Linked DNA regions of Diceros bicornis minor. The protein of the gene in region 3 purifies or fractionates together with the protein of the main gene of each other region. This does not show direct contact. Links are inferred from orthologs where the notes say so. Each region holds a gene or a part of one and is shown on either strand. Other genes may lie near its edges. The genes, in order: GRB2, DNAJA1, OTUD5 and MAPK1.

Region 1 (7,453 bases), on a different chromosome or scaffold from region 3:
GGAACGTGGCTGAGCATTGAGGCTGGACTTGTTGGCAGCGGCTGGCCATGGAGGGCCATGTGGAGCATGCTAAGGACTTTGGACCTTATCTGTGACCCCTTGATTCAATTTGTATTTAAGAAAGCCCACTCCTGTCCGCCCCGTGGCTTAGCGATTACGTGTGGGCGCTCCGCTACTGGTGGCCCGGGTTGGGATCCCGGGCGCGCGCACCGACACACCGCTTCTCCGGCCATGCTGAGGCCGGGTCCCACATACAGCAACTAGAAGGATGTGCAACTATGACATACAACTATCTACCGGGGCTTTGGGGAGAAAAAGGGAAAAAAAGGAAGAGGATTGGCAATAGATGTTAGCTCACAGCCGGCCTTCCTCAGCAAAAAGAGGAGGATTGGCATGGATGTTAGCTCAGGGCTGATCTTCCTCGCAAAAAAAAAAAGAAAAAAAAGAAAGCCCACTCCAGCCGCAATGTAGATATTGACTTGGAAGAGGGCAGGATGATAAGTAAGCAGGCCAGAGCATCCCTCCAGGAAGGATGGTGTCATGGACCACGTCAAATGATGGAAATAGAGTCAGGAGGTGGAGGAAGCGAAGTCACAAGACTTGGGGTCCCCTTAGTAGGCTCAGCGTCAGAGGCCACCCTCGAGGCCTGAGAGGTGTATGCAGCTTTGACTTACAACTTGAGCAAAGGAAATTCTAAGATGAAAACTTAGAGCTGGTGGGAGAATTTCAATGACCAAGTTTAAGTTGTCACTGGCTGTCTGATATTTTCCCACTAAAGAGAAGCTCAGAAATGTGGGCTCAGAGGATGCACCTGAGATGGTCTGGAGGCTGCTCCTACCGGAGGGGGTTAACTGTCAGGCCAGTTTCCTAGGGACTTTCAAGGTTCAGTAAATGCCAGGCAATGTCCAGTTCTTAACGGCAGGTGGCAGCATCACAACTCACAGAAGGCAAAGCAAGAAACTCTTTCCGACGACTAAAAATAACTGCAAACCCCAACCGAAAAGATGGATTTTTTTTTTTTGTCATTAATTTTTGCATTCTGAAGTGACTGATGTGGCCAGGTTGTAATCAGCAAGTTTTGCTACAGTTACAGCAGGTTTTCACACCTGAGTGTGACTTTTACTTCACAATTTGCCTCATTCCAATTTCTTTTCACTATTTAACACTAATCACACATACATTCAAAACACTACTGCCTCTAGTGTGTTTTTTTCCTCTGCGTGGAATGATCTTGGGCAGCGTTCTTTTAAGTTTCTGAGTCTGTGTCTGTAGAAAAGAATTTTTTATTGAAAAGACAATGTAACAAATGTTGAATTTTTTTTGTCACCCACAATTGCTTCATTTCAACACAATTATTTTTACTCTTAAATGTTCCCTTCCAAATCTAGTCCATATGCATATATTTTTACACAGACATACTCAGAGTCTGTTTTATCAATGCTGCATTTTAAAAGGAAGTGCATTTTTTTTTCCTTTTCTCTAGGCATCTAGTCTCTTCTGAGATCTCACCCACTTCCTTAGCTTTAAATATCACATTGCACAGAAAAGCAGCCACATCTTCCTCTCTAGTGAACCTCTTATTTATTCATCCATCCATCCATTTATTCACTCCATGCACTGTGCTGGGAGCTGGGAATACAAATGTAAAAAGGCGTGGTCCTGTTTGTCTGGGAGCTTGTAGAGCATTGGGGTGGGGGTGGGGGGACACAAAAACACACACAAATGATAATGCTGCAATGAGATTGGAGGTACAGTGGAAATTTTGAGGAAGAAACCCTAAAACTGACTTGGGGGCCTAAAGAAAGGGAAGAAGGCCAACTGAGCAGAGGAAACTGCATGTGCAAAGATACGGGCACTCAAAAGATCATGGCACCTTCTGGAAACCACAGTGGTTTGGTATTGGTGGAGTGTGTTGGCTGGAGACTGAGAGGGTGGGGTTGGCAGGCAAGGGCCAGATCCATAAGGATCTTGCAAAGGACTTGAGATCTTATTTTGTAGATGATAAATATCTTAGTTCCAACTGATTTTCCACTCTGCAGCCAGAGTGATACCTATTTTGAAGATGAAAATCTGACTGTGTGTCATTCTCCCCCTACCCCCGCCCCCACCTCCCCAGCCCTGCTTCAGTATCCCATAGAATCAAGACCCTAGTTTATGGCTTCCTTGAGTTCTCTCTTACTTTATGGCCTGTGCACATGCTGTACTCTCTCCGGAGAACTCTTTTCCTCTCAGGCTAACCAGGGTCTCAGCTTAAACCTCTCTCCTCAGCCTTCCCTGAACCAGACTGGGTCAGGTCCCCTGCTATATGCTCCCAAAGCTGCCATCACTGCGAGTGTCATACTCTCGAAGGTATGTCGTGTCCTTTAGGCTGCAAGCTCTGTGATGCGTTATCCTGCCATCTACAGAGTAGACGCCCAGTTAATGTTGTGAAGAGGACTAATGAAGGCATTGGGATTTTCAACAGCACACTGGATATTTCCACCTGCATGTCTCCTGAAACAATGAACTCTACATTTCCAAAACTGGGGCATCATCCTTACCTGCCTCTTCCCTGTACCTCATCACCTCCCTCTCCCCCGCCCAGTCAGCTGCTCCTCTTGACTGGCAAATTTCTCTGTTGTTCTCCCCACTTGAAGCAGGGAGCTGCAATTCTTCCTTCATTTCCTCCTCCTCTCTGCTCAGCAGCTAAGTCTTCCCTTTCATTTCTTTCTTTTTTTTTTAATCTGGCTACCATTCTAGAATAAAGTATCATAGTGGGGGAAAAAATGGGTTTTAGAACAAGACAGGCCTAGCTTTAAATCTCAAGTCTACTATATTTGGGTTTCCTTGGGTAAGTTACTAACCACTCTAAGCCTCAGTTTCTGAGTCTGTAAAATGGGGACATTATCCACCCTGTAGAAACACTATGACTTTAGTACACATCAGGTGGTAAACAGATTGGTCCTCTTGTTATTTTCACCTCATATCAGACATCTACTGCTCAGAAATCTTCAGAGGTTTCATATCACTTGAAAATGAAACTTAAGCCATACATCTTGGCCTTGTCTCTCATTACTCCTCCCCCTAAATCCTAAATTCTCTCCAATCTGAAATATTGGCTGATTCCGTCACTCTTTCCTCTCTGCTTTCACGTTGCAGTTCAAACACCAAGTTCTCCCTGATTACCTGAGCACCAAGTAACTGGCTCCCTCCTCTGCAGTCCTATATATAGTTCAATGGCACTAGGGCCAACTGTTTTGCCTTGCAGACTAGGCAACTCTGCTCTAGATTACAAACTGCTGAAAGCTGAGGCTTTGTCGTGTTCATCTGTTATCCTGCATAGCGCCTCGAGTGCAGTTGATGCTCAATAAATCTTTGGTGAAAGAACAATTAATTTTCCTTTTTCAATGGGCTTGTTTTCTCTATAGAATCAGGTGTTTGGTTATCCTCATCTCCCTGACTATTTTGTTGGCTTCCAGAGAGCACATTACCATTAGATGCATTTTGTTCTCTCCTTCAATTGGAAAGAGATTTTGGAACCGAAAAATAAAAGTTACTTCTCCAAGCCTCATCTTCTGCCACTCCCCCGTACTCACCCCGCCTAGTACAGGAATCGAACTACTTAGCATTGTACAGAACACGATTCTCTCTCACGCCTCCCTTCCTTTGTACCTGCGTGCCGTTCCCTTCGCCTGGAATGCCCTTACCCCGCCTTCTCTGTCTGGCGAACTCCTACTCATCCTCCAAGACTCGGCTCAGACATTACCACATCACCTTCTCTGGGAAGGCTTTTCTGAGATGGGCAGAGTGGCGACCCCTCTCCCCGCCTTTTAGCTTCCTTAGCATTCCTTTTAGCTTCTTGAGCATTCCCCAAGTAATTCTAACAGTACTTATGGCGTTGTTTACATTTCTGCCAATTTTCTAGACGGTGAATTCCTTGAGGGCCAGGATTTCTGTTCGTCGTTGTACCTGCTATACCTTGCTCAGTGCTTAGCATGCATTCGACACTTGATTAAATCAACGAGGGAACGAATCTGTTAACTCATCTAACACTGCAGAGTTTGGACAGGATTCTCAAATATTTCAAGACCTAGTCTTCTATTTGGAGTGCTTCGTGCTGGAGACTCCCCTCTCTCCTCCCCTAAATTGCCTTGGTTTGGCGGAAGGGAAAGGGAAGTGAGTGATTAGTACGTGCATAACAGTTACTTCTGGGCTGAGCTGTAATTTATTTGCTCCGGCACCGACCGGGTTGCAGCGACCCAGGGGGCGGAGCCATGCCGGTGCCACCTGCTGCGGGGCGGTCTGGCGCATGCGCCGTGGCACCTAGATAGTCTCTACCTGCGGGGGCCCGGCCGAGGAGGAGCGCTTGCGCTCTAGGCCTTTTCCGCCGGGGGAAGTCTCGTGGGGGCGGGGCGGGGCGGGGCCGCGCGGGGAAGTTCTCGCGAGACCCTGACGAGGAGCGGAAGCGGGGAGACTGTCCTGTTTCGGCTACCGGGAGGCGGCGGCGGCGGTAGCAGCAGTGGCTGTGACGACGGCTGTGGCGGTGACGGCGGCGGGAACAGGCGCTGCCCTCGGGGAGCAGTAGTGGGGTCGGCAGCCGCTCGCACCGCTGCGGAAGGGCCAGCCGGTGCGGAGCAGAGCAGCTGCGCCACGGTGAGTGCGGACGGCGGCGTCGGCGCTGCTCCGGTGCCTTTTCCTCCCCGCTCCGCGGCGGGAGTCGGCCCGGGGGGACTGGGCCCAGCCTGCCGAGGCCGCCGTGCCTGGGGTTCGGGGTGGCGAGGCCGGGGCGGGGAGCGGAATCCCCGGGGCTCCGGGCTCCACGTTTCCCCTTTTGGGGCGCTTCCTTCCTGGGGACTGTCCTCTCCCGGCCTTTGGCTGGAGGCAGAGCCCCGGACTCCGGGGCAAGAGGCCGGGGGCTCCTAGTTAAATTCCGCGGCTTTTTCATGAGGATTTGCGCAGAACGGGCCCGGGAGAAGCCCGAGAGCACGGGGTACTCATTCTGTGAGTCAGTCTGACTCGGCCCGGGAGGCGGGGGATTCGCGGCGGGCTGCAAGTGTGTTGCTTGATGCTCCTTCGACCTCCACGGCCACCACGTCACCATCTCCTGGTGTCTGGGCCGAATTTTGGGAAGACACCCACCAACCCTGTTAATACAGTGAGTTAGAACGTTTGCTACTGGAGCCATTCGCGATGCCTTTACTTCTGTCGCTCCTTTTGAACTACTCGCTGAAAAATATTTGTCAAGAAAAATAAGCAGCACTTGGTTGAAATGCTCCGAGGAAAGAGTTTAGTGAGAGAGGAGAGAGAAGCACGGGTTTTTTTTCGTTTGCAGCGCTCTCCATATATATGATTGTAAGCCATATGAGTTACAGCTAGTTATTCCAGGTTGTCTTCAGATGCTATAAAAGGACAGTTTGCAGAGGAGCTGAAGTGCACTCGAGGTCTGTTTTTTGGTAGCTGACTCAGAAAACAGTCGAAAAGACACAGTGAGAGAAATTGGCATTAGTCTGTTTAGCATGTCTGTTTTGTCCGTCTTTTCACTTAGTACTTCTCCAGTTGTTGCCTTTTCTTTCTATCTAGTTCTCTCCGTTCTACTGCGGACACTAAATGCTTATTGGTATAATGCAAGTCATTTGCCCCCTCCCCCAGCTTTTTTCTAATCTACTTCCCCTTCCTCCTTATTGTCCCCTTTCTGGCATAATTTTTCAAGGTTTCTGCTCTTTGGCGCAGTTCGTTTTCTCCCTCAATTAGATTCCGTTTTCTGTCCCGGGAAGATACCCTCTTTCCTGCTTTATCCTTTATTTTTAAGCGTCCACTGTGTTCCTTCAGTCAGCCAGAAGGGTTGCTAGAGAGCCATGCGAGACTTAAGTTCTCCCCCTGGGAACTGGGAGGCTCAAAGGATTGAATTCATCCGTAAGTAATCAATACTGCCACTAGGTCACAAGTGCAGCTTGCTTGTGTTATTTGTGTTTTAGTTTTTCTTCACTTTAAGATCATGCTTTTGTGCCTGCTTATGCTTTTCTTTCTATATCACTTTTATGTTAGTAAGGAAGATTGGGTCAGTTGGGGGCTTGTGTGACTTCTTTTTGGCTTTTAGTGGGGGTGGTTAACGTTAAAAAATGAAAACCAATCACAGACCTATATTACAATAGAGTTAAGATAACATGAAACATTTAAGGGAATAGAATTTATTTAGACCATTAATAAATTAAAGCTTGCCTATGGTAATAGTACTAATTATTTTTTACTAGGCTTTATTTATTTATATTTTATTTATTTATTTTTTAAAGATAAGGGTTATTCTTTTTTTTTTTTTGGTGAGAAACATCAGCCCTGAGGTAACATCTGTGCCAATCCTCCTCTTTTAGCAGAGGAAGACTGGCTCTGAGCTAACATCTATTGCCAATCCCCCCCCCCCACACACACAAAGCCCCAGTAGATGGTCGTATGTCGTAGTTGCACATCCTTCTAGTTGCTGTATGTGGGGCGCGGCCTCAGCATGGCCGGAGAAGCCGTGCGTCGGTGTGCGCCCGGGATCCAAACCCGGGCCGCCAGTAGGGGAGCGCGCGCACTTAACCGCCAAGCCACGGGGCCGGCCCTACTAGGCTTTTTTTAAATCAGACATCTTTTCCTACATCTGTTATAATCAGCCTTCTTTGTTATGGTTGTCAGATTTTTTTGACATAAAGAATTAACAAATAATAAAATATTTGTTTTGTTGCCCCTTTTCTTGTTCAGAATTTTCCGAATCCTAAAACAAAAAAAAGGAGTTAATTCTTGTAATCGGCTTTCTTTGATACTAAAAGCAAGCATTTAAATACTTGAGGCAGTTTACTTGCTCAGCTTGTCTATTCAGGTTTGAGGGATTACTAGGTTTTAAATACTACTAGTTGATGGTACTTAGAGATTTTTCTCAGTAATTCCTGTTATCATGTTGCATGTTGTGCAGCAACAGTTCTAATTGTTAGCTAGAGCAGAAGAGTAAAGGACTTTGAAGAAATGAAGTAATACAGAATAGAGACCCACTATGCTCTCCTGAGAGAAATTAATAGTTACTTGCATAATTCAGAAGAACTTTCCAGGGCCCAGCCTGGTGGCGTAGCGGTTAAGTTCGCACGTTCCGCTTTGCCGGCCCAGGGTTGGCGGGTTCAGATCCTGGGCACAGACCTGCTCATCACTCATCAAGCCGTGCTGAGGCGGGGCCCCTATAGAAGAGCTACACATCTACAACTGTGATACAGAACTACGTACTGGGGCTTTGGGGAGGGAAAAAAAAGAAAAAAATGGAGGATTGGCAACAAATGTTAGCGCAGGGCCAATCTTCCTCAAAAAAAAGAAGAAGAAGAAGAACTTTCTGGGACTACTGAATGGCCGTTGAGAGTCGTGGTTTTATGTGTCAAAGTTCGTTTTTTCCCAGTTGTGCCAAGTGAATATGCATTATTTTCATTTTATGCAAAGACATTGTAGTGCATTA
Region 2 (7,719 bases), on a different chromosome or scaffold from region 3:
TCTTAAGTTCATCTGGAAGAATAAACACACTAGAAAATGCCAGAAAAATTGTGAAAAGAAGGAGCAATGAGGGGAAACAGGCCTCCCAGACATTAAAATGTATTTATTTTAGGGGCCGACCCGGTGACACAGCGGTTAAGTTCTCGAGTTCCGCTTCAGTGGCCCTGAGTTCGCCAGTTCAGATCCTGGGCTCAGACCTACTCACTGCTCATCAAGCCACGCTGAGGTGGCATCCCACATAGAAGAACTAGAAGGACCTACAACTAGGATATACAACTATGTACTGGGACTTTGGGGAGAAAAAGAAAAAGGAGGAAGACTGGCAACAGATGTTAGCTCAGGGCCAATCTTCCTCAAAAAAAAAAAAGAAAAGGAAGAAACCACTTTACTCTGTAGCATTAAAAAAAAAGTCACATAAGAACATTTACTAAGGGGCTGGTTATGAAACAAATTACTAACTTTCCTCTGTATAAAAACAAAATGTATTTTAATGGAAACTTAGTATACAATTAAAGTGGCATTTCATATTACTCAGGAAAGATAGAGTATTAAAATTGTGTTAGACAAACTAGCTGGCCATTTGGAAAAAAAATGAAGCTCAGTTACTTACAAATAATCCTCAGCCCTCACACCAAAACAAATTCTAGGTCGAATAAAGATTTAAATGTAAAAAATGGAACCACGAAGTACTAGAAGAAAACCTGGGAGAATACATTGATAATGCTGGATTGGTGAAGCCTTTCTAAACATAACAAATAAAGGAGAAGGGGGAGGCGGAGAGAAGGGAGGAGAAGAAAAGAAATGCAAAAGTCAAAAAAGAAGAGTTAAAACTTATCTAAATAAAATTAAAAGCTTTATATGGCCAAAATATATACATAGAGATACAGGTACTAAGTCAAAAGCTACAATACATCAGAGAAAATAACTGAGACACACGACAGACTAAGACCTACTATCTCTAATGTCAAGTGCTATTACATATCATTAACATAGTGGAGTTACACCACAGAAAAACGGTCCAATAAAAAGAATGGACAGTTGACAGAAGAAGAGTTGGTAAACATTTAAAAGATGCTTAAGAGGCCAACCCCGGTGGTGTAGTGGTTAAGCTCACGTGCTCTGCTTTCATGGCCCAGGGTTCACAGGTTCGGATCCTGGGCACAGACCTATGCACCACTTAACAAGCCATGCTGTGGCAGGTGTCCCACATATAAAGTAGAGGAAGATGGGCACAGATATTAGCTCAGGGCCAATTTTTCTCAGCAAAAAGAGGATTGGCAACAGATGTTAGCTCAGGGCTAATCTTCCTCACCAAAAAATAAATAAATAAAAAGATGCTTAACCACATTATTAAAGAAACTCAAATTAAAACAACAGATATCACATTTTAATCCCTAAGGTTAGCAAAGATTTAAAAAAACACAGAACCCTCCATATTGGCAACACCCACTCATGCTGCTGGCGGCAGTACAAACTGACATGGAAAGTTATTTATTACAATTTTAAATTTGCATTCGCGTTGACCCAGCAATTTCAATTCTAGACGTCCATCTTACAGATATACTTGCTTGAGTGCCCAAAGCTGTATTTGAGAATTTCTCTGCAGCATTGTTTGCAAAGCATTGGAAATTGCCAAAATGTTCATCAATAAGGGAATGGTTAAATAAATTATAGTGCCTGCATACTATCTAATATAAAGTCGTTAAAAATAACAAGGTATATTTATTTATTCTGACCTGGTAGGATGACAATAAATTAAGTAAAAGGGCAAGTGCAAACAGCATGTATAATATGATCTCATTTCTTTACAAGAAAAGATCACATACTAAATTATTGCTAATCTTTTTGCATTTTATGTAAATAAGAGTGCTTCTTAAAAGTGTTAACTTCTATTACTGAAAAGCCAGAATATTCATCAGGACATATTTTCAGCATCACTGAGATAAGTTTCTATAAAGGGAAAAATGTCAAACGGAACATATGTATTGATGTTTTTTAAGGCAACTAAGAATCACCTAATTTTGCTGTTGGGGTGACAAGTTACTAGTTCAAAGCTTACACTGGGAGGAGGAAATTTTATATTTTTCTAATTTTTAAATAAATACCACATTCAAATGGGTTAAATATTCCAAAGTTACAGAAGGGTATATTGTGAAATGTCTCCCTCTCATCCGCCTCTCCCCAGCACCTAGCTCTCCCCACAAGCAACCATATTACAAGTTTTGGGGTATCCTTCTGAAATATTCTATGCACACACAAGCAAATAAGTACAGTTTTTCCCTTCTTGTAACCAACTTTTATGCCCCTTATGTTATTCTTAATAAACAATTAAGCTCACTTAGTGAGGTTGCAGATTTTAAAAGCATTTTCAATATCATGTTTCATAGTCTTAGGTGCGCACTCTCAAGGAGGTTATCTTATTTGTATCACACTTCCATCTTTCTAAAAGTTGTGGGAATTTCAACTGGGTTCCTTAGGCAAAAAGAAACACTAAACATGGTAGGATTTATGAAACACTAGACATGGTAATATTTATTGTGGAAACTCTTGGTTGAAGTGATTTGATATACACAGTACTGAAGCTCATTTCACATGCTTAACCAATGTTAGATTCATAGACACAGTTCATGTTACAGTAGAGAAGGAACTTTGGGACTACAACACCTACATAACACATGAACAATATTTATTATTGTTCACTTACTGTTCTTTATTAACTGCTCATGTTTTCACAACTGCCTGTCTCTCAGCCTGGATACTCATCTGGACGGTGCCAGGTCCCCCTACTCAGCACCCCAATACTCCTTTATTTGCATTTATCACACAACTTCTCCTTTACGTGGTGACCTCCTTGCCGGCAGAGACCATGACTTCGTGATTTTCACATTATCAAGCCCTAGTACCCTGCCTGGCAGCATTAGACTTCTAGTAACTGCTAGTGAAAAGGAAAAACTTTATACCAGAGGTGGTATTTGAGAAGGTAACATCTAAGATTGGAAAAATTAGGTGTTTGTCAGCCAGAACAAAAGCACAGAGAGGTGAAAAAGTGCCTCTGGGAAACTGCAGATAGTTCGGTGTGACTGGCATGCACCTGTTTTGTTGTTTTGTTTTTTTGCGAGGAAGATCAGCCCTGAGCTAACATCCATGCCAATCCTCCTTTTTTTTTGCTGAGGAAAACCGGCCTTGGGCTAACATCTGTGCCCATCTTCCTGCATCTTATATAGGACACTGCCACAGCACAGCCTGACAAGCGGCACATGGGCAAGTGCCCAGGATCTGAACCCCCGCCGCCAGCAGTGGAGCGTGGGCACTTAACCGCTATGCCACGGGCCGGCCCCTGCATGCACCATTTAAATAAAAGAGAGAAGACTGAATACGCATGGGGACGCCTCCAGGATAAAGTTCAAAAACTGTTTAGCAAGACATACCAAGAGGTGTTCCCCAACTAGCTCTGAACCCACACTCCCTGCCACTCCAGCTCCCTTAGCCCTGGCTATATCCAGTTACTTGCAATTTCCTGGAAACATATTCTTTCACACCTCAGCCGTCCTTTGTACTTGTCTTTTGCTGGGAATGCTCTTCTTTCTTCAAAACTCTGCTCAACCGCCCCTTTCCCAAGGAAGCCTTCCCTGTTCCATCAGATGAATACAGGAGCCTCTCCCCGGCTAACCTGTCTTGTGGTGCCCTTATAGTGCATTGACTTGTCTGGTTCCCCACTGAAATCTAAGCAATGTGAACCCGGCTTTTCCAATTTTGCATCTCCAGATTTCTTGGTGCTAGATACTCCTAGCGGTGGTGTTCAGGGAGGAAGACAGACTCTCTTTTCCATTATACCCCCGTTCCAACATTTGAAAGCCCACAATCACTTTGCAGACCGTAGATCACGGTTCACAGACCTGGGGGGGGGGGGGCTTAAAAGTTAAGTCAGGTAATTGAAACAATTTGTTAGCTACCCTTGGTGGCCACTCTGTGTCCCCGGCTCGCCAAACCGGGGAACGCCCAGCCAGAGCAGTCCATGGCGCTCAGTCTGCTCCAAAGCATGACAACGTCTCCCCGTTCAGCGCTGCCCTGAGCCCAGCGTGCAGGAGCCAGGAGGCCGCGGCAGACAACGTGTCTCGGAGGCTGGACTTGCACAGAGAGCTCTTCCGAGGCCGCGGGCTGCGCGTGAAAACGAACCAGACCCAAGGCCTGCGGGACTGTTCTGTGGCCCAGGACCCTCTTGCTCAGCATTTCCTGCTCGGCGGGTTCCCAGAACCTCAGGGCTAAGGAAGCACGCCGGTGAGAGGCCCCAAGAGGCGAGCGAGGCGCCAGCGGGAAGAGGCGCGGAGGGGCTTTGTCCCGAGATGCCCGCCCCGCACCCAGCGCCCGCCGGGCCGGTGCCCGCGTCCCCCCGTCCCCGCGGGCCCCGGCCGCCGCCTCGCCGGTGTGGGCACCCAGCTGCAGAGCACCGGGGCAGGCCCCGCTCCCGCCCGACACTTCCGCACTCTAGGGCCGACCGGCGGAAAAAAAGGGCTCCAGAAAGTTCCACGAGCGCCGGGAACCCAGGCTAGTGCCCACCCCCACAAGGCCCTTCGGCAAGCCCCTCCCGGCCCGAGCGCCCCCGCGCCGTTGCCGGGCAACCGCGGGGCGGTGGGAGCGCCGGGAAGGGCGGGACTTCCGGTGGGTGACGCGACCGAGCTCGGCTACAAAAGACGACGGCTGCGGCGCGCCGGGGGAACTTTCCAGAACGCCCGGTGTGAGGCGGAGGAGCCGCGACCCGAGCTGCGCACAGCAACGCGCTCCCTCCCGCTCCCCCGCGCCGGCCTCGGCCCGCTCACCGGTGAGTGTCGGCCCCCGCGCGTCCCCTGGCCCCCATGGCGGCGCCGGGAGCCGGAGGGAGCCGCGGCCGGGGGCGGTTGGCTCCGCGTGGGCGGGAGGGTTGTCGGTTCCCGGACCCACGATCTCCTCCTTGGAGGGCTGGTGTAGTGCCCGGCCACCCATCCCCGGCCCGCAGCGAGCGACCCCGAGATTCTCCCGAAGTTTCCCCGCTCCCCATCCAGCTTGAGGTCCCCGCGGACCCGCCGGCGGCGGCTTGCCCGCGCGCGCGCGCCCCCCAGCGACCCTCTGCCCGCGCTCGCCGGGGTGGGCGACTCTCCGCGCACGCGCAGAGGAGCCGAGGGGCGAGGGGCTGCGGGCGGAGCGGGCGGAGGCTGCAGGTTTCGCTTCTCCGCTCTGCCCTCCTTCTCTTTGTTGAGCCCTGGGCTTCGCCTCCCGCCGCTCGATCTCGGGTGGGAGGGAGAAAAGGAAACCTTCACCGTCGGCGCCCGGCGCAGGGGGAAACCTGCCGACGTGTAGAGTGGGCCGGCTCGTGGAGGCAAGGGGGGTTCCGCGGGCGAAGCCGAGGAGCTCTAAGTCCTGTGATTGAGAAACATCCTTGGGGTTGAGGGGGAGGGGAGCCTGCTCTCTGGCGCCGGCGTTCTTAATTAGTTTCAAAACCCCTCCCAGCCCCCTTGTGCCCAGGTGTCTTTTCTTCTCTGGAGGGTATGGTTTATCAGATTTACCGAAGACGAAGATGATGTAATAACCAGTGGACTGAACCTATTAGTGCTCCTTTTGATTACTGCTGCCGCTCACTGCTTGGGGAGGCGAACAGGAAGGGTCCAGATAATAGTCGCGTTAGTGTGGAGGCTTTCATGTGGGAGAGGGGAACCAGCTGCTGTAGAAGGAGGCTCTTGAATTATTCCCTGATAATTATTAGCTTATATTTAGTCTGTTAGAACTCAGGGCTGAATTATCGAAGGGATCGTTACCTTCTCCGTGAACTTTAGGGAAGGCGGTGCTCTTATAATCAGATTTGGCGAAGAACAGATTTCTCTGCTTAACTCTGATTTTACTAATTAAAACTACCAGTTGAAAGTCGGTTAAAATTGCCTTTTCTTGTTTTATGCTGTAGAAAATGGTGAAAGAAACCACATACTATGATGTTTTGGGGGTCAAACCCAATGCTACCCAGGAAGAACTGAAAAAGGCTTACAGAAAACTGGCGTTGAAGTATCACCCTGATAAAAATCCAAACGAAGGCGAGAAGGCAAGTAGCATGCTCATATTAAACATAGCTGGATAGTTCTTTGCCAGGTGTATGGTATTTCTATTACAACCTGAAATTGACTATGTCTAATATAGTGGTTTTGCTTTGTAGTGTTTTTTTTAGTGAAATTTATTCCCTTTTTTCTCAAACAGTTTAAACAGATATCTCAAGCTTATGAAGTGCTGTCTGATGCAAAGAAAAGGGAATTATATGACAAAGGAGGAGAACAAGCCATTAAAGAAGGTGGCGCAGGTGGCGGTTTTGGCTCCCCCATGGACATCTTTGATATGTTTTTTGGAGGAGGAGGAAGGATGCAGAGAGAAAGGAGAGGTAAGAAGAGCCTAGTCCCCCTGCAGCAAATTAAAGAAGCCCTGGGTCAGAGCAAATTCTTGAGAATTCACTTATTTTAAATGCTTATTTATGTGTCGGTATAGTGTTGCAAAGTGACCATAAACTGCCACTTTGATTTACGGTATAGTTTTTTTAAATGAGATTTGATGTAACTAAAAATAGCTAAGCCAATCTAGTGCTAACAAGTGAGTGCTTCTAAAGCTCTCAGATACAGACGATTTCTGTGAGGTTATCCGGCATTAATTACAGAAACAAAGAATAGGCACATAATTTTTTTTTAAATTTAAAAATTAAAAAAAAATTTAAATTTTTACAAATCTTATTTGACCCCACCCACCTAGTGGGAGGTACTGACAAGAGGGAGTTAAAGTTCAGAAACCTAAAGTTTCCTCCAGGTTGGATGTAGCAAGGCAGCAGTTGAGTCAGGGTTGGAGCACAGGTTCTTTGCCAGCAAGTAGCCCGCTGTCCCTTGAATCTTGCTTTGGCTTTCTTGTATCAGAGTATGTGTCCTAACATTTAACAGAAGTGTGGTTTCTGAGCTGTGGAAATATTCTTCATAGGAGTACAGTGTTGGGGTCAGAGAGTTAGTCTCACTTTGTTCCCAGTAGGGTTTATACAAACAAACAAACAAGGGCTGATGGGTAGAGCCCATTTCAGAAGGAATAGGCAAGCCATTAAATTTCACTTGGAACTGTTTCAGATTGAGATAAGACTGGAAATTGTTTATTCAGTGCTCCTTGAAAGGGGTATGTTTTTATTTACTTAATTTTAAGAAATTTATCCTGAAATAATTTGCAATGAAAATCAATTGCTTAGGATGGTTTGTCCCACAGAATAGTAGTGGTCCTTTTTGTTTTTTCCGCTTCTTTTTTTAATGAAGAGTTGACCGGCAGGCTCTTGTGTGTGGCTTAGGTCAATGAAAGGTCGTTTTTTGGTGTGACACTGGAAAATACTTGCTGAATAGAGCTGCAGCAGCTTTTTTCCTTCCCTGTACTCCACACTCGGTGAAGCTGCAGTGAGAGCGGTTGGCAGCTTTTGGCATGCCAGAACCAGCTACATGGGACTGTATTTATGATTCAGAACCCAAAGGTGGAGGTAGGTAGGAGCAGAAGGATATAGTTAATGGTGCTTCACACTTCATTGGAAACTTGGCATGTTGTGCAGATGGGAGTTGGGGGATTTTTTTCATTTACACATAAGGCATTACTGTCTTGTGATGGATAAAGTCCTTGTGGAAGAATCAGTAGCTAGGAACTTATTAACCATTGGCAGGTGACTTCGTTTCCGTAGTCTCAGTATCC
Region 3 (7,935 bases):
CATGAGGGAAAGTGTAAACTCTTGAGGGGAGATTCAGGACACTATTCTCCAGGGACTCTGTATCCATGCCCCAAGGGAAGGGTCTCAGGGCTCCATTCTGGTGGGGAGAGTTTTCCTGTTCCTGAGGGGTACCTTAAGTTCCTTGAGGGGGAAGCTCAGACCTCATCTCTAGAGACACACTAGTCACTGGGGTATATAAGGGTCTCCTGTCCTTGAAAGAAAGTGCAAGCGTCCTTAGCACACTGGGTCCCAGGCCCTTGAAGGCAGGCTTAGATCCATGGTGAGGCCTCAGACTAAATCTCTGGGACTCCATGCTTCCCATGTCCCCTGAAGAGTGGTCTCAGTCCCGAGTTCCCAAGGCAGGGATCTTACGTCCCTGACAAGAAGCTCACGCCGTTACGTGTGGGGAGTGTGTGCTCAGATGCCTATTATAGGGGAAGAGGGGGCTGTTATGTCCCCAAGGTGTGTTTCAGTCCTTCATAATTGGGCTAGAAGGATCTCACATCCCTGTGTGTGTGTGTGAAGGGGGGGGTCTCAGATTCCTAAGAAGAACACTCAGACACTAGCTCCTGAGGAGAAAGGTCCCCTAAAGACCTCACCTTGCCTGGGACCTGCGGAGGGGTATCAGTCTCCTGAAGAGGCTTCAGACCCAGTCTCTGAAAGCCCCAGTCCATAAGCAGGAGGATCTTAGGCTCCAGTATCCAAAACAGTGAGTCTCACTTTCTTGAAGCAAGGCTCAGGGCAGGGAGGAAGCTGAAAGTCTAATGCTTAACAGAAGCTTAAGAGAGATTCACTCTGGTCCCCAAGAACGTCTCAGACCACTGAGAGGAAGCATAGACCCTTGTCACTTAGAAAGGAGATGAGTTTCATATGCCCTAGTAGAGTTTCTGGTCCCTGGGTGTTTTGACCCTTGTCCCCAATGGGAAGGAAATCTTATCTCCCTGAAAGAAGTCTTATATACCTGGAGAAAAGCTCAGAAGATCCCTCTCTCTAAAGAAGACATATATGTGTGTGTCAGGCCCATGATTCTAGAAGAGGGAGTCTCAGGCCCTTGAAGGCAGGCTTAGGACCCTTGAGGAGGTCTCAGACCCCATCACTGAGTGGTCCTGCACTGTGTTCCCCTGAGAAGAAGGTAGAGGAGATCTGTCCTATATAGTGTCTCAGACTCCCGAAAGGATTTAGGTATCTTGGGGACACTCAGACATCTCTGAAGTCTCCACCTCACTTGTGTTCCCTGAAGACGGAGTCTTAGACTCTTATCCCAGAGAAAAAGAAATCTCAAGCCACTGAACACAGACCAAAGTTCCTTGGAGAATCAGGAGACACCCTTCTCAGAAAGCATTCCATCCTGCCTGTGTCTCCTGGGGAGTTCCCACCTATTGGCCCTACATGATGAGGTCCCAGGGCCGGAAATGACGACCATGAGTCCTCAAAGTAACCACAGACCTCATCTTTAAGTCCTCCATCTCATCTGGGGCCTCTAACACCAAGTTCTTGAGAGGAGGAAGAGGGTGTCTCACACCCCTACCACCAGAGAAAAGAACGCCAAGCTCCGGGAAAAGATGTTAGGGCCCTTGGGCCGATCTCAAAAACCTTCCTCGGGTCCCTACCCAGCCCGGGGATCCCATCGACCAGACTCACTCACCTGCCACCCCCAGCCCATACCTGCTCGACGGTGGCAGGATCCATGGCCTCGATGCGTGCTGCAGCTGCTTCATACTCATCCTCGCTGTTGTAACCTGCGCCGACCTCCTCACGCTCGGGACTGCCCCCGCCAACCGCGCCAACCCCAGGCGCTTGACGCCGCCGTTTGCTGTGACCCGGCCCAGAGCAGCAGCTGCCCACGCCTACACCACCGCCCACGCCCACCACCACGCCCGCCGCGCCCACACCCGCCGCCGCTGCGCCCAGCGCGTCACCGGCACCGCCGCCGGGTCCGCCTGGGCCCCCGCAAGGAGGAGGAGAGGCCTGCTGTGGCCGCGGGCCTGCCACAGCGCCTGGCGGCACGGCCAGCGCCCAGCGGTGAAGCGCACCCGGTGGCCCCGGTAGCGGACCCTGAGGCGGTGGCGAGGCCCGGGAACGGGCCCCCACAACGCCCGAGTCACGGTCGCGGTCGCCACCGCCCACGCCCGTGCCGCCGCCGCCCACGCCCACACCCCCGCCGCGGCGCGGCGCCGGGGGCAGCGGCCCGGGCGGCGACGGCTCGTTAGCGGGGTCAGAGTCGGGAGGCGGCGGCTTCTTTTTGGGGAGAATAGTCATGGCGGCACCGCCGAGTACCCCCCAGCAAACCCGGCGCGGGGCACGCCGGGAGAGAACCCGGATGAGGGGGCTACTGTGGTGCGCGAAGCACGATGGGATCGGCGGGACCCGGATAAAGAGATTGAGGCACCGGTTCGAGAACTCTCGGCGGCGCGCGGGTCACGCGGCAGGAGAACCCGGATGTGAAGTCCAAGCTGAAGGCACCCCGGCGAGTTTGTCGTAGCCTTCTCTTCAAGTCCAGCAAGTTTACTGCTACGCTCGCTCCGGCCTTCTGCTTCAAAGGAAACAGAACCAAAACAAGCACCTCTTCGCCCCGCCCCCTCGCAGGTTCTTGAACTACCGGGTGGGGCCCCGGGACGCTGCGCACGCGCGCCAGGGCACAGCCCCGCCTCTCGTGCGGAAGTACGTGGGCAAAATCTTCGCCGCCGCCACAACAATTGCGGGCAGCAACCAATCGAAGCAGCTGCGTGGGTCTTCGATGACGCCCACAGGCCAATCAGAGATGATCGCTCGCCCTCCCGTGCCCTCCGTCTCAAATTTCAGTCAAGTCGGCACCCTCGTTCCTTGCCTTCTTGTCGGCCGTGTCCGCTCTTTACTTCTCTCTCCGAGGCTCTGACTCGCAGGCAGGAGTACTGCGACAGGACAGCGTAGCCTGCCCCACGCAAGATAATTTTAAAAGTACCTCCCTACCAGGCTTCTAACTTGGCTGCAGTCAGCCGGACTGACGAGAATATCAACACTCCCAGAGCATAGCAATCCCCTGAAGCGTCAGTTCCGGTCCCACCCACCGGCAAATCCACATCCGACGGAGAGGAGGGCGCCGCTTCACCCTGGCAACAGGCTGAATTCTGCGATGATTGGTTAAGAGAGGCCGTCATTCAAGTCGGAAGGCCAACCATGGGACAGACATGCACCGTGGTGTTTGGGAAACAGACACGCCCACTTTGGCACCACCGCATTCTCGCCCTCGGGTTGACCTCCCCGCCCCTGTAGCTAGTGCGCAGGCGTAGCGCAGCCTTTTTTTCTGAAACTGAGTTTACCTGGATCGAGAAGTCTATGAACCAGGTCTGTCACTGGCCAGCGTCTCGCAATGGGGTTGGTAAAATCCCTGCTACTGAGCTACTGGAGAGCTACAAGCTAATCTTAGCTCTGACCTTCCTGTCTGAGTGATCTCCGGCAAGTCATTTAACACCCTCCATCCTCAAATTCTACTTCTCTGTAAACTGGCAATGATAATTCCATTTTAATGATCAGAGATGAATGCTTGTAATGGGCTTGGTGCTGTACTTGGCACGTAGTAAATGCTCAATAAATTAGTCTGCGTGACGGTACAATGGAATGGATCTCAGGCTTTGGAGTCAGGAAGAGTCCAGTTCCAGGCTTCAGTTCCAGGCACGGATGGACCCTTACCAACTGTATGACCTCGAGCAAGTCATTGTGTCTCAAATTTGGGGTTAGCCATGTGTAAAACGGGAGTGATAATGCCTGCCCAGACTCCCTCAGAGAGTAGTTATGAGGTTCAATAAGCTCATGAACCGAGAAGGTGTTGTGAGAGGTGAGGGCTCACTACCAGTCTTAGGAGCCGAGCCATACAAGAGGTTGACAGTGAGACCATCAGAAAGCCCTTCTGAGTGCGACCTAACCTCGCTTCAGATGCTGACCCTAGTTGAAGTTCTTCCCTGAAGGATGTCAGTAATAAACGGACTGTTGTGGTGTTTTCTGCTCTTGAGACAATGAGAGGAGAGGACTCACGTTTACTGGGCCTATTGTGTTCAGGGCACTGTGCCAAATGCCTATGCACATTATCACATGGAATCTTCTCATGACCATCTCACTTGACCCATACATCCCACTCCCTACTGGATATTTGGTCAGCACTACATATCTAAACCTGAACTTATGATAAGAATTGTAGCTAACCTTCACCGAGTACTTACTATGTGGCTGGCACTGTGCACTAACAGCTTTGATGTTCCCTTTGACAGTGAATGGCACCCCAATCCAGCCTTTCCCCAAGCCAGAAACCAAGAAGTCAACCTTGACTGTTTCCTCTTTCTTAACTCCTGCATGCCTGTCAATCCCAAATTCTGCCCATTCTATCTCTCAAATCTCTTGACTCTCCAACTCTTACTGCCACTACCTGATCCAAGCCACCATCACCTTTCAACTGGACTTCTGCAAAAGCCTCCTCACTGCTCGTCCTCCCTCTGGGACTGTTTCTCTATAATCCGCTCTCCACAGACAGAATGATCCTTCTGAAACACAAACCTGAGAGTGACTTTCCTGTCTATAAGCCTTCAGAGGTCCCTATCATTCTTAGTATGAAGTCTAAAACCTGTATCATAGCTTCAAAGGCCTTTTATGATCTGGCCTACCTCTGCATCTTCACCCTCCTCACAGCCTCACACTCTCCTCCCCAGCTGTACTGAACTAATTTCAGTTCCCCAAAGGCCCTGAGCTCACTCTCTAACCTTCCAGCTCATTCATTGCACATGCTGTTCTCTCTGCCTGATACATTTTCATACTTTTGTCTTTTGCCTGGCTAACTCCAACTCATTCTTCATGTGTCGGCCAGATTAGGTTCTCCTGCCATCTACATGCTTCTATAATCTATCCATCTTAGTTCTACTGTACTGTATTGTAATCGCTTAATTGCCTGCCTTCCATGCTCACCTCTGTAGATGAGAGATGATGTCTTCTTTGCCCATCTTTGTCTCCCTAGGGCTAGCACATGATATGAAGTTAATACTTGGTGAATAAATGAATGATTATTTCGCAGATTAGCAACCTGAGGCAACAGAAGTAATTTTCTCACGCAGGGATTGGAACCCAGGTCGACCTGAATCCAAGGTCTGTCTTCTCAGTGCTCCACAGAGCTCAGTCACACACTAGCCTAGTGTACCCGGGAGCTCAGAAGAGAGAATGTAGGAGACATCCACAAGGAAGGGGAATTTGCCAAACTGAGAGATGCTTTTCATTAGGGTTCAATTCAGAGCTGTTTGATGTCAGGAAGCCTCGGTTTAAGTCTCCTCTAATCAAGCGTGTGCTGCTCTGGGTCTCAGTTCCCCCATCTGTGAGTGAGGGAGCTGGAGCAGATGAAGTTCAAGGGGCATGTCTCACGACCTCCTAGCCTGCCTTGCTGGCTGTAGATTCAACTCTTCAAACCACCCTCTTTCATTTCTCCTAGATTCCCATCTTCCAGAACACGTCACCAACCATCCACCTCCCATACCTTTACCCACAACCAGCCCTTCTCCAGCAATACTTTGAAATCATAGTATTGTTAACCCCCTAGCCCAATCCAGCCCCCAAACCCACAAAGCCAGGAGGTGCTCAGCCTCATCTCTCCTCTCAGATTTTATTGACTGATGGAAACTACATCTTTGTCAGCCTCCAACTCCACAGGGACAGTGCTGGGGACAGGGAACCTGAGATGATGCCAGATTTCAGCCTGAGAGCAGACACAGAGTTCTGGAAGGTGACCCAAAAGGGAGAAGAAAGAGGAATATGTGAAAAAGCATTGTGGGAGGAGGAGATCAATAAGTTCCTCCTGCCTCCTAGAACTCCCAGAGTTCAGGAACAACCCAGGCCCCAGCCCTGATGCTTCTGGACTCCTGCCCAAGAACATGGAATTAGCCCGTGATCTCCAAACACAGCCCTGCTCTTGCTAGCTGCCAGGTCTTATCTCAGCCAGTCCAGACTCCAGCCCAACCCAGGAAGGGAGCAAACCAGAGAAGAGAGAAGGAGGAGTAGTTAGAGGTGGCCCCTCTGATTAGGGCAGATGTAAATGCTGCAGCAAACTGGGCAAAGGCTTTGCATAATGTCATGGCAGCAACTGCTATTGCTAGAGTTGGCTGGGGGCCCAGCAGAGGACGGGGTTGTGGGGACCCATTTCCAGCAGCCAGGGAAGGTGGGTGGTGTTTGTGCTATCTGTGTGTGTTGGGAGAGGCAGCCTGACCCCTGAGCCAAGGTCTGGGGGTGGCAGGTCACTGCTGAGGCACAGCTCATGAAGCCTGTGGTTGCATTCCAAGCTTCAGAATCTGGGAGTTATTGGGCCTGGTGGAGGGTGGGGACCTCTCCTAAAGGCCAGATCAGAAGTGAGAGTTCTTTTCTCTGAACCTCCAAACCTCCACAGCCCGGCCAGAGAGAAGAGGAAGTCTCATCTCTCCTTCTTACGCCGAGCTCAGATGTCAGGTGGGAGCCCAACGGCCCGAGGGGAGGAGCATGCAGGAGGCCAGCTCAGGAAGAGGGGCCAGTCCCAGTGTGCTGGGGCAAGGAGGCCAGGGGCGCGAGGAAGCCCAGCTCTTCAGCTCCCACAAGGAAAACTGTCTGGGCTGGGGGAAGTTTCCCATTCCCTGGCTACTTCCCCACTAGGTAGGCCATTCCATGAAACTCCATTGCATAGTTCTCAGTGGGGGGCAGAAGGGGTCCCCAGGCCTGCCCCTCTCTGCCTCTCCAAAATATGGCTTTGGAAAGGAGTCCCCAAGAATCAAGAGGGCTCTCTGGATGGGCGGGGCCGCCCCTCACAGGGAAGAGATCTTGACAGTCTCAGGGAGGAGGCAAGGGGTACCCAGGCTGGAGTTCCTGAGGGTGCTGCTGGCCCCGCCGCCACCACCAGGGGAGGAAGGTTGGCTCTCATTTGGGGTGTTGGCAGGAGGGGTAGGGATACTGATGATGGCAGCCACGAAGTCCCGGCTTTCACAGTTCAGGTCAAGGCTGTCATGGGGCTTGGCATTGAGGCTTGAGCGGCTGTGGATAGGGTGGGAAGATGGAAGCTTCTTAAAAAGTCATCTTAATACTTGCCACATCAATCATGACATTTATTGGGTGCCTACTGAGTCCCTGGCACTGTGCTAAAGGCTTCCCCTGACTCCTCAATTATGGTGGTACAGAGTGAGGGCTCTGGAGTCAGTCCTGGGGTCGAATTCTGGTCCCACTGTAACCACTCTCAACCTCTTTTTTCTCTCATCTGTAGCATGTGAATAACAGTATTTCTTCTTGTAGGGTAGTTGTAGAGAGTAAATGAGATAATAAATGATACAAAGTGCTCAGAATAGTGCCTGGAACATAATGAGCACACACACAAAAATGTTATCTATTATGGTTACTCTTTACAATGCCAAAGTCCTCACAATAGTTGACAGTAAGATCTACAAAATCTGGTCCCTGTTTCTTTCTGATTTTACCTGCTATCATTCTCCCCCTCATTCACTCCACTCTACTCACAGTAGCTTCCTGGCTGTAACATGGAGACGCACTCCTGCCTCAGGGCCTTTGCCCAGGCTGTTTGCTATGCCTGGAAAGCTCTTGCTCTAGATATCTAGATGGCTCACTCCATCACCTCCTTCAGGTCTTGGCTCAGTCATCACCTCAGCAAAGCCTTCCCTGAGCACACTATTAAAACTGCATCATAGAGGGCTGGCCCAGTGGCGTAGTGATTAGGTTTGCATGCTCCGCTTTGGTCGCCTGGAGTTTGCAGGTTCGGATCCCAGGCATGGACTTACACACTGCTCATCAAGCCATGCTGTGGAGGCACCCCACGTACAAAATAGAGGAAGACTGGCACGGATGTGAGGTCAGGGACAATCTTCCTCAAGCAAAAAGGGGAGGATTGGCAGCAGATGTTAGCTCAGGGCCAATCTTCCTCACCAAAAACAAAACAAAATAAAACAAAAC
Region 4 (7,968 bases), on a different chromosome or scaffold from region 3:
AATAAATAAAATTAAAAAAAAAAAAATTTAACATTTCAATCAAGAAGCCCTCCATAGGGACCGGCCCAGTGGTGTAGTGGTTAAGTTCTCCCATTCCACTTTGGTAGCCTGGGGTTCGCCGGTTCGGATCCTGGCCACGGCCCTACTCAGCACTCATCAAGCCACGCTGAGGCGGCACCCCACATAGAAGAGCTGCAACTCTAGGACTATGATACACAACTATGTACTGGGGCTTTGGGGAGAAAAAAGAAAAAAAGAGGAAGATTGGCAACAGATGTTAGTGCAGGGCCAATCTTCCTCAAAAAAACAAAACAAAAAACAAACAAACAAAAGCCCTCCATAAACCCAGTACTGTTAATCAACATTTACTAAATGCTAATAATGTATAATGTAGATTAAATTCTTACTAGGGTATATCATCAACCTGAAGATAAAAAACTATAATCTGGACCCAGGATTCTAATTCCAATGATATTCATATTTTACTTAGGTAAAGGAAATTACAGCAAAAGTACTTGGCACTTCACCTGATAGAGACTTAGGTCAAATAACTCTACAGTAGTGACAGAAACAGTTACTAGATCTAAATCATCTAAAGACTAGTAAAAATCTTATCAGATAGGAAAAAAAACTTTCAACTGAAATGTCCTAAATCTAAAAATTTTTTCAGTCCATATTTCAGGTGTTACATTTTTTAAAAGGGTCAAAGGAATGTGATGGCCAATTGTGAGCCTTTCACAATGAGACACGTTCACAGGCGTCCTCACCAGCAGGTGCAAGAGCAATCAGATGTATGCAGAGAAGTGATGCTGCCGGCAGTACTTGCTCTCTGTTACTTTCTAGGGCCTTATTTCTTTTAGACTTAACCTAATTTAATTTCTTTTTCGGCTCCTAAGCCTCTGAGTTCACATTAATTTCCACAGTTGGACACCATGAAGCATTTTGCTCCAGAAGAAAACGAAAATATTCAAAAATCTGTTAGTCCTTTTTTTTTTTTGTGAGGAAGATTGGCCCTGAGCTAACATCTGCCAATCCTCCTCTTTTTGTTTTTTATTTTTTGCTCAGGAAGACTGTCCCTGAGCTAACATCCGTGCCCATCTTCCTCACTTTATATGGGATGCCGCCACAGCATGGCTTGCCAAGCGGTGCATCGGTGCGCGCCCGAGGTCCGACCCGGCGAACCCCAGGCCGCTGCAGCGGAGCGCGCGCAATTAACCGCTTGCGCCACCCGGCCGGTCCCTATTAGGCCTTCATTTTAAAAAAGAATTTTAATGAGTCTTTCTGTCTAGCTATGATACCTAGTAACACATGCTCTCTATGGCATTTCTAAAATTATAATCATTCAAATTTAAATGTGTTTCTAAAATAGATTTGCTTATAACAGTAAAACATACTAAAATTCTAAAATTACTAATAATACTATTTAAGGAAAGCAGGGAGTAATAGGAAGAGCTGCAGCATTTGAAGTAGGATCTCAGTCTACAATATCAAGTCTGACTCTTTAGTTTTATGACCTTAGGGATTGGCTTCACCTCGAAATACTTTCTCACCTGAAAGAGGGATATTACCACCTCTTCCTCTCTTGAGGTAGCTGTTCATATAAAATGAGATAACGTACCTAGCACAGTACCTGCCAAGTGTTCAATAAATATTAATTTGCTTCCTACAATCAACACAAAAAGACACAAGAAGATTTAGCTGTAAGATTTAGGTGTGTCTTCATCAGCACAAAACACTACAGCTAGTTGGTTCTAATAAAAACAATACCGTCACCTCCATTCCACAATCTGAGGGATCTGGATCAAGATGAGAGAGCCTGCACGTGATTCTGCAACAACTCCATTAAGGCTGTATATATACTGACCACTAAAACATTAATAGGAAAAGTCCACAGTAATTGTGCTAAAACGTCTGGAGACGTTTATGCTGATAAGAGCGCTCACTCGAGGCAAAGAAAAAAAAGTCAAATTAGGCCCAACTCCAGATGACTCCTTAATAAATCAAGAGAGCGATGCTGGCTTACTCTTCCTGAAACGCAAACAGTAAAATATTAAAATCCACTTAAAAACTTCGAGATTGAAATATTCCACAAACAGCACTGGTGCCGCTAATGCTTTTTAGAAAGCCTGCGCAGGAGAGCACCATTAGCACCACTAAAGATGTTTCATGAAAGCCGTTCGCGGAAAACACAGGCGACGGGAGGAACATCGTATGTGATTATTTCGGCATTCTGTACACACCCCGAGGCGAACCGCTTTCAAGACCACGGCCGCCGCCACCACCGACAAACATCTGAAGGAATTCCTGGCTTTACAATCGGATGTGCAAAGAAGGCTGGCAAACTGGGGGACGGGAGGCGCCACCGTTCCCTGCCCGGGGGTCCTCGCTCTGAAATTCGCGCTGCGCCCGGTTCCGGGAGTCCCTGGTCCCGACCCCCGCCCCCCGCGCCCCTCCCCGCGGCGGGTGAGGGTCGACCCGCGAAGCGCCGCGAGCAACACGCAAACCTCGCCCGGCCCCAGGGCCCCGCCCGAGGCCCCCGGTGCGCGGACCGCGGCGAAGCCCGGGGTCGAGGTCGCGGCGGCGCAGGAGGCCGAGGCGCGGACGAGGCCGCAGCTGCGTCCGCGGCGGCCCCGGGCGGTGGGCGGCGGGCGCGGCCGGGCCTGCGGGCGAGCGCGGACACTCACCACACCATGCCGTAAGCGCCCTCGCCGATGTACGAGAGATTGGTATAGCGTGGCCCCACGTCGAACACCTGCCCGCGGACCATCTCCGGGCCCGCGCCCGCCGCCGCCGCCGCCATGTTGGCTGCCCGGCCGCCGCCGCCGCCGCCGCGCTGGGCTCGACGCTCCGCGGCCGCCGCTCGGCCCACGCCGCACCTCCCGGAGGGACCGCGCCGCCGCCGGTGCAGCCGCCGCCGCTGACCGGGAAGCAGCAAGGAGGTCACCGCTCAGGAAGACTCGACACCCAACAATCCCTCGAACCGACTGCCTGCTTGACTGACGGACGGGCCGGCGGGCGGAGGGAGGGGCGCGCGCCGAGGGCGCCGGGGCGGGGCCAGGCAGCGTGCACGCCGATTGGCTCCCCGCGGCCTGGGGGCAGGGCTGCGCGGGCCGGCGGAAGCGGCGAGCTCAGGGCGAAGCACTGCGGCGGCGGCGGAGGCACCGCCCTGCGTGGTCACGTGTGTTCGCGGGGGAGTCGGCGCGGGAGGCGGTTCCCGAGATGCAGGAGGTTACGGAGGCGTTGGACAGATTTGGGACGTGGCTTGCCAGACGGTCAGGGGAAGGGAAATACCCAGAGTGGGGGTTCTGGCGGAGCCAGAGAGCCCCCGGGGACTGCGCGTGAGAGACGAGGACGCGCCACACACGGCCGCGGTCTGCGCCAGGCGTGTGCGGGTCCGTGGTGCACACACGAACTTAGAGGCCTCGAGACGAGGATAGGAACCGAAAGGCGTGACCGAGACCGAGAAAGACGTTTGCGTACTAAGAAAGTGTGAAATACAAAGGTCGAGACCAAAAGGAGAGACTCTGAGAGGATCCGTTACTCAGACAGAGGTTCATTCAACGAGTGTTTGTGAAGCACCTGCCATGTCCCTGGGCATGCACCCTCACAGAAGTTACATTCTAGAAGGAGGCATAGATTAAATAGAAATATATACATATGAAATACTCAAGTTCTGGTAAGTACTATGAAGAAGTATAAGGCAGAGTAGGGAGTTAGGGAGTAGTGGAGTGAGACACTAGAGAAAGACATTGAGATTCAGAAACTGAGACCCAGATTGCACAGATGCACAGAATCTTAGACATAGGACATACTGAAGTATGAATGCAAAGATGAAAACGCTAAAACCAAAACATCCATATCTAGAGAAAATGAGACAAACACACTTGGGCTCAGAAATAGTCACACACACCAGAGGTTGAAAAGTAAAAATCGGAATCCTGAAGCAGATGAATGCCAAGAATAGCTAACACAATGAGACAGAAAATGATGGAGCCCCTGCTTCTGAACCATTTCCCATGCCATCTTTGGAGGGGGAGTCAGGGTGGGAGATGATGCATTCTGATTGTCCAATACTGTGATCTTGAAAGCCATCAACTCAGGACTTTCAGACATCAGTGAAGTTCAAGTAGTCAGTCTCAAAGGTGATTAAGCAAATTTTTAAAAAACCCCATAGGAAAAAAATATGTGGCACATGAGAAAAGAAAGAAAGTGCTAGAGCCGAAACTTAATCTTTGAAATATATTTAGTCCATGAAGCAGAACCCAGTTTTAGAAAGCACCTAATGCTTATTCTTGATTATAAGAGGACATTGCGTCTTTTAAAGAACAGGCCAAAGTAAATGGAGAGTACTATGAAATTAAAACCACTATAACCAAAGCAAAATTCAGTGGTCAAAGCAGTAAAAGGCAGATTTGATAATGCAACAGAGCAAATCAGCAATATAGAAGATAAATATAAGAAAAATTCAAAGTGCTGGAATTCTTTGAGAAGAAAACTTCATGGAGAGTCAAACTATAGGAATTCCCCTAACAGAAGTCAGAGCAAATCAATTAGAGGCAATAATTAAAATGATAATAAAAGAAAACTTGCCTTAGGTCTGAAAAGATCTGAGGTGGAGATGGAAAATTGGGTGAGTTCGCTGGGATGCCGAAAAATGAATGAGCAGAAACCAACCTCGAGACATAATTTCGGGGGTAAAGAACAAACACAGTATCCAATCAGAAAAAAAAGATTATGGTAAAAACTGGTTTTCTTTAGATTCCTCCTCTGTAATTAAATGGAAAGGAAAATGGAACAAGATTGACAGCACTCTGAGGGGGTAGGTTGTAACCCTCCTTGGAGGGTTTCATCCCCTCCAATGCCTTGATTCCTTCTAGGTCTTTAACTGTTGCTCAGAATCTGCCTCCTGAAGTTCAAGTCATCTTGTCCACTGGACAGCTCCATGTGACATCATCCTCCAAGAGCTTCAACTTCATATATCCAGACTGCCAGTGGTTAACTGGAGGAGTTCTGCACTCAGACTGCCAGAGGGTTTGAATCTTTGCTGCTCCACTTAGTACCTATATGAGCTTGGCCTCAGTTTCCTCGCTCTTAAAATGAAGATCACAATAGTACCTACCTCATAAGTTTGTTGTACAGAATAAATAAGACAATATATGTAAAGAGCCTGGCACATAGTAAGTATCCAATCAATGTTATCTGTTATTGTTATTTACCCCACTGAAACGTGTTCCTCATCTTCTATCTTGGATAGCATCACCACCCAGATACTCAAGCTGGAGGTCTGGGTATGATCCTTAACAACTCATTTTACCTCGCTCCCAACCCTCCCCCTTTCCAACCAGTCACAAACTCATATAAATTCTATTTCTTTAATATTTCTGAAATAGTTTCTACTCAAAGTGTGGTCTCCAGACCAGCAGCACCAGCATTATTTGGGATTTTGTTAGGAATGCAGCACCTCACCCCAGACCTACTAAATCGGGATCTGCATTTTAACGAGATCCCCAGGTGGTTCGTATGCATATTAAACTTTAAAAAGCACTGTTTTCTTTTTTATTTTTTTATTGATGTGTAATTAACATACAACATTGCATTGGTTTCAGGTGTACAACATAATGATTCAATATTTGTATATATTGCGAGATGATCACTGCAATAAGTCTAGTTAACATCTGTCGCCATACGTAGTTACAGAATTTTGAAAAGCACTGTTTTAAATGAATCCACTTCACCCGCACTGCCATCCTGTTGCGTAAAGCCTGCTGCATCAACTCTCACCTAGGCTACCACAATAGCCTTAACCCTTCTGCTTTCAGTGTTGCCAATCTCCAATTGCTTCTCCTTATACCCAGATCAATCTTTCCATAACACATTTGACCATGTCACTCCCCTTCCTAAAGCAAGTCAGTGGCTCCCCATTGCACTCAGAGTGAGGCCTTTGCTGACCACCCCTCCCCCACCACTCTGCTTAATCTGCCTTCCTTGTGCTTCATGCTTCAACCAGACTGGACTACTCTGAGTTCTCTTTGTCTTTCAGTGTCACCACATGCCTGTCTCTCTCCCTGTAACGTGTTCTCTCTCCACTCTTCCAGCATTTGTGGACATTTTAAAGCCACCACACTATCATGGCATGATGCATCTGACCACTAATTTTCTCCAGAGAACTTCTCTTGCGTGGTTCCATGGGAACTAAGTAACGTTATGATTAAAGTTTGGCTTCACTTGTGGTTTTTGACAGGGAAAGTGCACTGACCAGAGGACAGCCCTATTCAGGTCCTTTGGCAATTACTGTTCATTCTAAGATGGGATTTAGATATACATCAGTCTCTGCTGAGTCAGGTTAGCATGAGGCAGGCCCAGAGGGAACAATCATCTAGCTACATTGACAACAACAAATTTCTGGAAGCGCAAAGCTGAGGGCTAGGCTCTGGAACCATACTAAGCCACTATAGAAGCAGAAGACCTTGCTTGAATGGCCAGCTGGCCACCTGGATGTCTTCCTTATTGCCTCTCTAGAGTGGTGACAGTTCACAGATCTGCAGAATCTTAGAAAACAATGGACATCTGTCATTTTTGCCTATATAGCATCAACTCCTCCTCCTTCTGCTAGCAAAAAACCAATTTTACTTTGGTGAACCATCCCTTCTGCACTCTTCACCCCCAAGTCAAGAGTAAGTATGTGACCCAGGGCTCCCTAATCAGAGTCACAGATGGTTCAAAGGATGGGCATGTGACCTGATCCAGGCCAGTGACACTCAGCCCAGACTTGGCAGAAACAATGAGAAAGGAGTACTTCCTTTCTGTTGGGGTGCTACGGCAGTGAGTATGAGTCTCAGGCCAAACATGCCTTGATGTGAGAAGTGCCCTCTGAGAATGAAGGTAAGACGGGGAAAGCAGAGCCCAGAGATGGAGACAATTTCCTGATGACACGGTTTGAGGCTGTATTCAACTGAGCCTGGACTTTACAGGTTCGTGAGCCAATATATTCTCTTTTTTACTGAAGTCAATTTAAGGTAGGTTTCTGTAACTTGAAACCACAAGAGTTTGTGACTAACACACTACCCAGTTAACTCCCTTTTCTGCAAAAATTGCTCAGAATTTTATAATAAATCACTGAGACATGAATCAGAAACTCATGAATGATGAAATGAGAGAAAATTGGCACTGAGCCTTGAAACCAGCTAAAGATAGAGAGATAAGTGAATAAAAACACCACTCAGTAGAGACTGTTTGATGCTGATAAGTTGAAATAATTGTTGTCACTATGGTAACAAACAAAATGCAAAAGAAAAGAATTTGAGACAGAGGATTTTTAACCTCAGATTAATTCAATGAAAACCAGAGAGGAAGAAAGAGGGTAGAAAAAGCAAGGCACTAAGTCTTTTACATAAAGTGAAGATAAAAGTTATTTTTAAAAATAGTATAATTTTCATATTTTTTTAGTGTAAAATGCTTTATGTCTACCTTATAAATTATTATAGGAGATAAAAGGGAAAATGTAATTCACACAGCAGAAATCAAGAGTCCTGTACCAAGAAGTGTATTAGACACTTTCCTCACATTGTAGATGTGAGGAAATGGCAAGGAATCATAAAAAACAATGCCAAAACACCAAAAAAATAGATGATGGGAAGTTAAGACAAAGTGTAACAAATAAGGCAAATGTAAATAAATAAGAAAAACATAAATAGCTAAAATTCCTGTATAAAACTATGAAAATCTCAGATTAGATCAAAAGACAAACTCTGAATATGTACCATTGTAAGAAAGAAGTGGCCAAGAATACATATAGTATAAAGAGGTATTGTGAAAACAAATGCACCAAATAGCATAGCAACACAAAACAGGAAACACAAATCTTTAGAAATATGTATGACTAATAGAAATACAGTTATAGTAAAATATATTACACACCACTATCTGTGATATATAAAATAAACAAAAATTAAAATAAAGATAGGTTAA

Evidence for each region.
Region 1: the proteins of OTUD5 (region 3) and GRB2 purify together in Homo sapiens (affinity purification with mass spectrometry; 3 studies listed by BioGRID and IntAct, with this or other methods). This does not show direct contact. The link is inferred for Diceros bicornis minor from reciprocal best matches to the Homo sapiens genes OTUD5 and GRB2.
Region 2: the proteins of OTUD5 (region 3) and DNAJA1 purify together in Homo sapiens (affinity purification with mass spectrometry, with the first as the bait; 3 studies listed by BioGRID). This does not show direct contact. The link is inferred for Diceros bicornis minor from reciprocal best matches to the Homo sapiens genes OTUD5 and DNAJA1.
Region 4: the proteins of OTUD5 (region 3) and MAPK1 purify together in Homo sapiens (affinity purification with mass spectrometry; 3 studies listed by BioGRID, with this or other methods). This does not show direct contact. The link is inferred for Diceros bicornis minor from reciprocal best matches to the Homo sapiens genes OTUD5 and MAPK1.

The regions. Positions count from the first base shown.
Region 1 is NC_080757.1:55,882,645-55,890,097, reverse strand, and holds the start of GRB2 (growth factor receptor-bound protein 2), read left to right. Parts: upstream 1-4,443; 5' UTR 4,444-4,632; intron 4,633-7,453. UniProt on the Homo sapiens protein: Non-enzymatic adapter protein that plays a pivotal role in precisely regulated signaling cascades from cell surface receptors to cellular responses, including signaling transduction and gene expression.
Region 2 is NC_080761.1:53,103,146-53,110,864, forward strand, and holds the start of DNAJA1 (dnaJ homolog subfamily A member 1), read left to right. Parts: upstream 1-4,714; 5' UTR 4,715-4,819; intron 4,820-5,932; 5' UTR 5,933-5,935; coding exon 5,936-6,067; intron 6,068-6,219; coding exon 6,220-6,397; intron 6,398-7,719.
Region 3 is NC_080781.1:42,207,475-42,215,409, forward strand, and holds the start of OTUD5 (OTU domain-containing protein 5), read right to left. Parts: upstream 3,016-7,935; 5' UTR 2,260-3,015; coding exon 1,666-2,259; intron 1-1,665. Other genes in the region: KCND1 (potassium voltage-gated channel subfamily D member 1), read right to left, coding at 6,783-7,008. UniProt on the Homo sapiens protein: Deubiquitinating enzyme that functions as a negative regulator of the innate immune system. Has peptidase activity towards 'Lys-48'- and 'Lys-63'-linked polyubiquitin chains. Can also cleave 'Lys-11'-linked ubiquitin chains (in vitro).
Region 4 is NC_080774.1:30,335,467-30,343,434, forward strand, and holds the start of MAPK1 (mitogen-activated protein kinase 1), read right to left. Parts: upstream 3,001-7,968; 5' UTR 2,801-3,000; coding exon 2,685-2,800; intron 1-2,684. UniProt on the Homo sapiens protein: Serine/threonine kinase which acts as an essential component of the MAP kinase signal transduction pathway. MAPK1/ERK2 and MAPK3/ERK1 are the 2 MAPKs which play an important role in the MAPK/ERK cascade.